2 linked regions of the Drosophila melanogaster genome follow. The gene in region 1 interacts genetically with each later gene. Each region holds a gene or a part of one and is shown in the gene's direction. Other genes may lie near its edges.

Region 1 (4,796 bases):
CTGAAGCTCATCTTCATCTTCACTTGGCCCGGCCACTTGAGTGTCTTATTGTGCATGTTGTTTGAGAAGTTTGGCGCTGGGCGGTGAGGAGCCGGCATGACTCTGGTTTAGTACCACGCACTAGACGGTCTGACCATGTCTACGGCCCCCTCTTTAGAAATCTTCCTCACTTGGATGCACTGGAAACATTGGGGTCACATACTTGTACCTATTTTCATTTTCAAAAGCAGAATGTGCTAGAAGTATGATTATAGGGTATGTGATAGAATATTTCATTTTCATAACTGATTTTCAGTAATTAGTACTGATCTCTAAATAAATTTTAAAGATACATTTACTTTGAGCTGTATAATATATAGATTAAATTCAGATGTTAATGAAACAATTTGAATATTTTTTACAGCTTGTAATTACTTCCTTCCGGAGCACTTTAGCTTTTTAACATAGACCATGTCTACGGCCCCCTCTTTAGAAATCTTCCTCACTTGGATGCACTGGAAACATTGGGGTCACATACTTGTACCTATTTTCATTTTCAAAAGCAGAATGTGCTAGAAGTATGATTATAGGGTATGTGATAGAATATTTCATTTTCATAACTGATTTTCAGTAATTAGTACTGATCTCTAAATAAATTTTAAAGATACATTTACTTTGAGCTGTATAATATATAGATTAAATTCAGATGTTAATGAAACAATTTGAATATTTTTTACAGCTTGTAATTACTTCCTTCCGGAGCACTTTAGCTTTTTAACATAATTTCGATGCCTAGAGCAAAATGACCGCGAATCTAAAAATTTGAAGAAATAAAGTTCCTGCAAACATATACCCATTAATTGCTTAGTGTATACCCATTGTTATTGCCATTCTTGGGTGCCCATTGTTTGTGTTCTTGTCGTATGTAAATTTTGCATTGAAATGTGTACGCTTGGGTACATGTGTGTATGCACGTCGTGGTTTTTGGAGGTCCAGGTCTCTGGCCCTCCTCCCTTTTGGCCACGCTCCCCAGTGCCCCCCTGCCCCATTCGAAACGTCACTCCGTTTCATTATTGTTCACTTGGCCGCTTTCGTAAGTCGGGCCCAATGCAAAACAAACGGCGAAGAGCAGTCAAGAGAGTAGAGCCGAATCAACCATATGTCAGTTAAAAGGGAAGGAAGTCGGAGCAAAAGAGCGCCAAGTGAAGCTTACCTTTGGAGCTGTGTTTTGGTTTTACCAGGGTTGCCAGGTAAGAAGCGATTTCATGAAAAATTCATCCACAATGCTAAGGCTTAAATTATTTCCTTGTAGATTTTAGATCTACATTTTTAAAGTAAGATTACTGCAAAATCTCTGTCCAAAATAATCCAAGTAATCATGACATTTTATTTTTAGGTTTGGCTATCGAGATTTGCCTAATACGATATGCCTATCAGTAGCTGAACAGAAAACCAGTTTTCCAAATGTTTATTGACTTAAAGAAGATATCTTAGGCCATAAATAGTCTATTATCAGTTATCTGCGTCCTAAATTGCAATTTGCTATCTTAGTTGCTTTGTAACCAATAATATTACTCGACTGCGATTATCGCCCCTGCTTCGTTGCTATTATTCGACAACCCTGGTGGAACACTGGTAACTCTCTTTGTTAACCGCCACCTAAGAGAGCCAACCGATGTTGTTGGTTGTTGTTGCCAAGATACGAGGCTTAGCCAGTCGTTCGTCGTCGTCGTCGCTTGGTTACTCATTTGTTTTGCCAATTTTCGTAGCACGGCGGCCTCAGCGCCATTCAGTTAGTAACGAACGTTCGCGCCAGACACACGTATCCGCCACGCCCCCGCGAAGCCGCCCTCTGAAAAGCTGGGGAAAGCCAGAAAATCGTAACCGAAGCGAAGCGAGCGCGCGTTGTACGGCATCGGAGAATCCGAAAATCGGAGAATCGGACATCGGACATCGGAAGTTCTGCTTTGGAGTGGAGCAGCGTCGTCGTGACCGAGGTTTCTGCCCTCATACATATACGGATATAGTTAGCTATATATATATATATACAAATAGTTTAAAAGATATATAGGGCCAGACTGTAGCGCGCTTGCGAAAGTGGAAAGTATCTGCTGGATACTTTGGATACTTTCCGTTTTGGGGGAATTAATTAGACCAATATATCCCATGCAATCCGCGCGTTATTTTTGTTGTTTTGTCAATAATAATGCCAAACTCTGGCCAAAAACGGCATATATAAGCGGAAATGCAAAACAATAATACCAACAATTTGAGCCAAATCGGTTGTGTATTTGTGAACTGTGCTGTCTGTGCTGCTTCCAAAAAAAAAATCAAAATAAAACGAATAAAATAAAATAAACACAAAGCGCACATAAATAACAAAATAAGTGTTGGCTAAAAGCTTAGCCTGAAGCGTATTATACATTTTAACAACAGTTGCTGTTGCTACCAAAAGCAGCTAAGCGTGAAGTGCTTGCCAAATGAATTTTCTATATAACAAATGAAAACGGCTAAAAAATATATATAAGTTTAAAAAAACCGGACCAAATTTTAAACGAGATCTGTGGACTTTGAGAGATTCTAGCCACCTTCGTTTGGCTCTATTGTTGTGTTTAGTTGGCCGATAATGTTTTAAAAATCATTTAACATTAATTGTATATATATTTGGGTATTTCGAAATTTAAACCTAGAGCGGAGACTCATACTAAACTCATTGGTACATCCTCGCTAACTAAAGCAACCTCTGTAAATAAACTTTTAATACCCTTAAATTTAATGGAACTACTACTGAAGTTCTTTTTGGATAATCTGCCTTAACAGCCTTATAAATATCCACCCACCTGTATAAATCCACGCATGTCAATACGCCCCCCAATCCGCAAGAAACTTAAACCCTATTTGATATCCAAGCCGCATGAAGCTTAACTAAAGACTAACTTAACCCTCTTGCTTAACACTGTAGTTATATGTTATCCCCCCCCCCCTGCCCAAAACACCCCTGACCCTAGCAAAACCAAAAACCGAAAAAAAGCCCCAATAACAAGTAACTAAAAACGTGCTGGCAAACGCTCAACGTGACCGTCGCTCCTTTTGGCCAACGATTAGACCCGTCTTGGCGGGCATACATATATATATATACCACATTTAATGCTAATTCTCATTACGGCTGTGTACTTATACTTATATATCTAACCGAAATCAACTGCAGCTCAAACACATCAGTCGCTTTAACCACGGGTCTGCTCTCTTTTGGGAGCAGCTGGTGTCCATGGAACTATGCTCGGATATATCATCGTATCGCCGCGCCAGCTAATGCTAATCCTACGACCAGATCAGAGCCATCTGAACACCTAACCAACGATAAACCCAACTACCAAAATTGTGATCTCTGCATCGCACTAAAACCTAAACTGATATTAATTGCATCCAACTTACTGTGCGTGTGTGTGTGTGTGTTATGTCTGTAAATTTGGTTCGTTGCTATTATCCGTACCCGTAATATCACGTACACACCATACCACACCTACCCGCCTGAAATAAGTCCAAGCCTGCCCGCTAACGATCATGCATAAACCAAAGCTAGCGAATGCTATAACCGCTGCCGCCATTGCCTCATCCATATCCACCAAAAACAACAACAACAACAGCATCGTCGGCGGCAGCAGCAGCAGCAGCTCCGGTGGCAACAAATCGAAGCGACCACGTCAGTTTGGCCAATACTCGATCGGAGTTGGAACTGGAGCTGGAGCTGGGGGGCTACTCCGGTCGGACGACTCCGGCTTCGACCACCTCGACTATTCGTCACTAATTGGGGATTCGATTGATTTAGAGCACTACATCAGCGCCATGGAGGCACGTCGACACGACCAGGAGCCGGATGTTTGGGCCCAGCTGCAGCAGAAGGAGTCGGACATCCTATTGGCCGCCGAACTGGGCAAGGCACTGCTCGAGAAGAACGAGGAGCTGGTCAAACAGCAGGAAAAGCTCATCGAGGACTATTCGAGCAAAATTGAGGTGAGTCATGAAACACATATAAAGTTAACAGGTGGAATTGCCATTATAAATGGCAAACAATTGAAATGGAAGTCAGTTATTTGGGGGAAAGGAAAATTGGTTAGAATTAAAAGAAATTTAGGAAGAGGACATATAGCTTGGAAGGTACTTTAGTGACTTAAAAGATAGGCAATGCATATTATACTTTAATACACTTACAATTTAAAAGATCATAGAGATGATAGTTATGTATCTCTTGAATATGGTTAAGCAGCAATTTAAAGAATTGGGAAATGAAAAAATTAATTTTTGTTATGTTTTCTAAATGAATGGAAGAGATCTAAGCACTCTTTATTATTAGTTTAATGATATCTTGCTTATTGAGGGAATGCTTTCATGTTCTTTTATCTCTATTCTCTATCTGATTTACTAAAGTGTGAGCAATAAACAAAATAATCACTTTGCTTCTATCTCTATATTAGCTACCAATTGTGTGAAACCAACATTTGTAAATTCAGACCCATTTATTATTTTCCCTTTTTAAGCTCCCTACCTTTTCCTCTAATGATTTCTTGAACAATCTAATAGTTATCTCTAAATGCCGGCGCATTTATCAAATCGGCAACGGCAGTTATACCTGAGTACCAGAATTTTGATTGACTCACCTGATGATTTGCATTGATTATTGGCGGACATGTGTTCGTAAATGACCCCCTCTATTGACGCATTGCTGGCATTCCCAGGTCGGGAGAATTAAATAATACATATACAATATGGATTTTTTTCGAGAGCTGAAACACAGCACCTGTCCAATGCAGCTCTGT
Region 2 (4,989 bases), on another chromosome or scaffold:
TCGTATATAGTCCTCCAAATAGTAGTTGTTGAAGCTATCGCGACTGGGATCACTGCTGGCGAACTGCTGGTGCGTTAGCAGCAGCTGATTAATTAACCAGTTGCGACCGCCCTTTAAAACTTCTATGGCATCCCGTACACATTGGCGGCCCAACTCGAAATTGCGGTACAGCGGGTAGGTGATCATTCGCCGCAGGAAGGCAACCAGTACGTCCCGATAGTTGTCGAATTGCTCAAAGTAGCAATAAAGCGGGCACAGTATGCTTCGCGTCCAGCCCGATTCACACGTCGGCTCATTGTTCGTCGTCCGCACATCATAGCATATGGCCAACAGAATGCTTATCAGCCCGCAATCGATCTCGTTTTGCCGAAAAACGTCGCACGGCTGCTGCTCCCGTGTCTGCATTCGGCTGATGTTGTGCAGCAGATGCGCTTGCTCCTGGGTCATGGAAGTCTCGTAGATTTTCGGTTTGTAGCGTAAAGGATTCTGGTGACCGGACGGAACCTGTAGCTCCACAAAATTTATTTTGTACTGCTCGCGGGAAAAGCGCTTCATCTCATCGACCACGCGCTCTTGCCGCCTTTGGATGGGGCTCATGCGATGTGGCTCCGACACGCGGCACGTGGCTCTGTCCAACTGTGAAAACATCTGTGTTTAGTGCGCGGAAGAGCAGGTTAACCAATTGAACTCACCTCACTCAGGTCTAGCGGTCCGCTGTATTCGCTAGCATAGCCGTACCCAAAATTGTTGGTCAGCTTGTAGGTGCGCTCGTGGTCGTCGAGCTGCAATTGGCACTGATCGGTGATTCGTTTGAGTTTCCATTCCTGCACCAGAGGCTGCTTGTCCGGCAAATTGGCACTCAGTGTGGGTAGGTGCAGGAATGCGGCTATGTACTCTTTGCGACTATTCCACTGCTTGGCTGCATCCCCCGTACCACCGCCTCCGCCTCTTTCTCCACCGGGTCCTTCCTGGGCACCCGCTGTTAGGGGCAGACAGCGCAGGCAAATTTGGTAGTGATTCTCTGTCGTGTTGAACTTTATCAACAGCGTCTTCAGCTCTCGCAAGTCGAAGGTGCGACGGCTGTGGAATCTGTCCGAAAAGGGAGTACAAGTACGCAATGATATCGCTGGAATTTCGCCACCATGGCCCACCATGGGCACGACAGATTGCCGGATGTGACTCACTTGTACAGCTTAACATCTGCGTAGAAATAAAGATCGTGCGCGTCAACGAATATATCGCAGTTTCTTATGCGATCCACATGCAACGCCTCCGCTTCCGCCAACCCCGACCCCGCTTCCTGACCAAACTCCTCACCAGCGGAAGAAGAAGCAGCAGCAGCTGCTGCTGGCTGGGCCGACTTTGAGGACTGATTCAGGACAGGCGGGCGGGGTATGATCAGCGTGCACGAGTTCTCCAAATAACTGTGTGCAATCTGTCCATTCAACATCTTACAATTTTATTACGAGACTGTTGATTGTGCTAACTACTGTTTTTTAGTATAATTTTATTTATTTTAATGACCAGTATGACCGCCTACTCGAAACTAAAAATTCCTGTTGACAGCCCCTTAGCTTACGTTACGTTTGGCTACACTTCCGACAAATCTAGCTACTTTTTAACTGCTGTTGGGGAATTTTAAGTGCTAAGTTATAAAAAAAGATTTATTTATAGTATCTTAATATTTTATATTTTTATTTATTTATTTATCATTATTTTTTTTTATTTTCAGAACTTATATGAACACATCGTAAAAGCTAAGTTCAGCTATTTCGTATTCGCTTACGTTATGGCAATCGATATTTTCCCACCTAACGCCGTAAACTCAAGTCGATTGCACGCGTTAGCTCCACTTTGTGGACGCTTTAGGACATTGCTCATACGCTCGCTCCATTTGCCAGTCGCCATTATCGATTTGTGGCAGAGGAAAAATAGAGAATTAAAAAATCGCGTTTCAGCGTTAGGCACCGGTTAGAGAGCGCATAAACCGCGGCGATAAATTGTGTAGTGATTGTGACGTAGGAACCACTAAATCTTTACTGTTAGTTTAATCGTGAGGCTCGCATAGCAGAGTTTTCCCGTTCGAAATATTCTCAATCAATCAATACCTCTCTGTCTCTCGCTCGCCCCATACGCGTGTGTGTGTGTGTCTCTCTCTCCCTCTCTCTGTATCTGCTTTCGAGTGTGTGTGTGTGTCGGTGTGGTCAGCTCCTTTGGTGCATAATTAAATTAATCAAGTAAATAAAAACCAGCGAGCGGCAGCAGAAACAACAACAGCAACAGCTTCATCATGACCATGGCAGGGCAAACGATCAACGACAGGCTGCTGGCCGCCCGTCACAGCCTTGCGGGCCAAGGACTCGCCAAGTCCGTTTGCAAGGCCACCACGGAGGAATGCATTGGCCCGAAGAAGAAGCACTTGGACTGTGAGTTGCCCTGTCTATCTCTTTCCCTTGCCCACTCTCTTGGTCTTTCATTGCGTAAATCACCGTTACATTTCCTTGTTATAACACAGAGAGAAAAGAGGCACAGCCTTGTGCTACTAGTGGAAATGTACCCATCAAACACACGAAAATATTATTGTTACTTTGTAACGCTTTAAAATTAATTTATTTTTATTTGCAAACATAAGTCGCAATAAAATCTGTTTAGAAATTAACTTAAATTTTAATAATAATAAAAATTGGAATGAATAATATACTAAAGTAAGGAGTGCCTAACAAATTAGCAAAGAAAATAAAAAATTTAAATGTAGCCTAAATATAAAAACCATCGGCACAGTTAGTACGCTGCAAAAGTAATTTAGCAACAACATTCAGATGCAACCAGTTCGGGTTTCTTGGCTTCCTCGCTCCATTTTCACGTGCCTTTTGTTTTTGTGCGATAAATCACAAAGTTTTCTGAAAACGAAACCACTGATTACGGTCCACAAAGTCCCACAAACACAAACCACCACCCTCAAATTGCATCTGTGGCTCAGCTGCTGGTGTTTGTGGACTCCGTTCGTCATTGATTGGACTCCCCTCTCTTTCTACCAACACACTCTCTCTCTCTCTCTAATGTTACGTCACTTTCCCACGGGTGCACGTGTGTTTGTAGGGGCTTTGAATGGCTTAAAACGCCTACGAAAGCAGGGATTGTGTTTGTCACGGTGTCATTGCTTGTTAAATTTATGCAAGAGTCTTCCCTAATTTGCTGGATTTGCTTACACGTTTGAATTTTGCAAATACTTCTAAAGAGCTCCATATCCTAACGACATTCATTCCCGTTGGAATCTGTTTTTTTGGCTAGTTTTGCTCGCATTTTGACCCCCTTTTATTTAGCTTGTTGGCACTTTTCAGATGACTCATCAGATATGGCTACGAGTAAATGGGAATAAAAGAGGGCAATATTGTGGGGCGTTACTTGTCACATAAACATTGTATTGCAGTTGCCGCAAACCAATTTCCAATATAACCCAAAATTTGGCCACATGTGCTGTTTATTCAAGTTGATTACTTTATCCAAAACGTTATGCTCAATTCAGTTACCAAAAGTCTAAATAAATTAAACCTGAGTTAAAAGTCAGTCCGTACATTTTACAAGACGTCAGCAGGTAGCATGAAATATATTTCTTCTACCTATTTTCTCTATTTTCTTTTGTTAACAACTTTTGTCCTATGATAAAACCAGTTGTGTGTTCACGGAAACAACAGCACTTAATGAGCTTTACACCGATTGAAAAGATCCCAGAATATTTCAACCAGCTACACAAGTGGGCAATAATAATTAAAATTAAGTATCAATGGTCCCCCACTACAGTGGAGTCTCGATACCCGACACATTTATTTATTTATGTATTTAAGAGCATAAGCATGCGAATTGACCCCAGCGATAACTACGCTACAGAAGTCGCCAATCGCTTTTGGTATCCGAGCACTGTAAATATTTTCGAAATATATGTGAATCAGTGAAGATTTCAAAAAGGGCGGATACGAATTTTAACTAAATAACTCATTCAAAATGTCTTAACTACTCAGCGATTTCAACGTTTTGTCATAAAGTGACACCCCCAGGCCACTGTGCTCGTTAAGAAACTCACCAGTTTCGTTTACAAGGACCGATCAATTTTCCACATTTACTGTTTATTGAAATTTGTTCTTATTTATGTATAAATGAATCACTGGCCTGGCGCCCGTCAGCCAAACAAAATGAAGCAAAAGGACGGCGAACATCTGCGATGGCTTGTGAAATGTGCAACGCCCCTCGAATCCCATGCAATTTTTTCTTGCTCGGCGACAAACACTTTCCAACCGAAATGGGAATTGATTCAAATGGAAGCGCATGATAGTAGACACAATGGGATTCAGCTCTTATCATCGACACTTTTCCGTCAGTATTTAGCTTGAATGGCGGCTGCAAGCTTAAAGCGCAGATAAGCAAACAACGACTAAGAGTCGCGACCGATAACGGGACGCAAAAAACAAGATGATTAAATTTATGGGAGGTTCGGTTATTATAATAATAATAATCTTTACAGAAACGTTGTTTGTTTCTGGAACAGATAAATTGACTTTTAAAGTTTTATGTTGCTTCTTAAACATGTAAACATTTGTTGTTTTGCTCATATGAACTAAGTTTTCGTAAAAAAAATATACTGTTGAATAAATCTAGAGGATAATAACTAATAGTTGTCGGCGGTTATATCGAATCTGATTGATTTTTCCAATAAATGCTTGGGAAAATAAATATCAAGTCAAAGTTAATCGCAACCAAAAGTAAAGTTGAGTTGGACGTACAAAATTAAGGAAAAGAGCAAATGGTTCACTAACCGAAAATTACAAAAAAAAAAAACGTTCTTTATTGTTTTCTAATCTACTGTATGGATATGCGTTAAGAAACTAATATAAAGCTATGCTTAATAAAATGATTTTCATTTATTATTTTAAATCAATGTAAAATGTTAAATTAGTTTGTGGTTGCTTTGTGTTAATATAAGTTTCATACCTT

What was found. A genetic interaction does not mean that the proteins touch.
Region 2: of CG32137 (region 1) and lap, changing one enhances a phenotype caused by changing the other (phenotypic enhancement), as found in Drosophila melanogaster (one study listed by BioGRID).

What each region holds. Positions count from the first base shown.
Region 1 is NT_037436.4:13,937,483-13,942,278, forward strand, and holds the start of CG32137 (uncharacterized protein), read left to right. Parts: upstream 1-1,767; 5' UTR 1,768-1,976; intron 1,977-3,187; 5' UTR 3,188-3,543; coding exon 3,544-3,993; intron 3,994-4,796. UniProt on the Drosophila melanogaster protein: Functions redundantly with BicD. Involved in formation and/or development of mechanosensory organs during metamorphosis.
Region 2 is NT_033777.3:7,185,122-7,190,110, forward strand, and holds the start of lap (like-AP180), read left to right. Parts: upstream 1-1,872; 5' UTR 1,873-2,290; coding exon 2,291-2,426; intron 2,427-4,989. Other genes in the region: CG10055 (uncharacterized protein), read right to left, coding at 1-636, 693-1,089, 1,185-1,450. UniProt on the Drosophila melanogaster protein: Assembly protein recruiting clathrin and adaptor protein complex 2 (AP2) to cell membranes at sites of coated-pit formation and clathrin-vesicle assembly.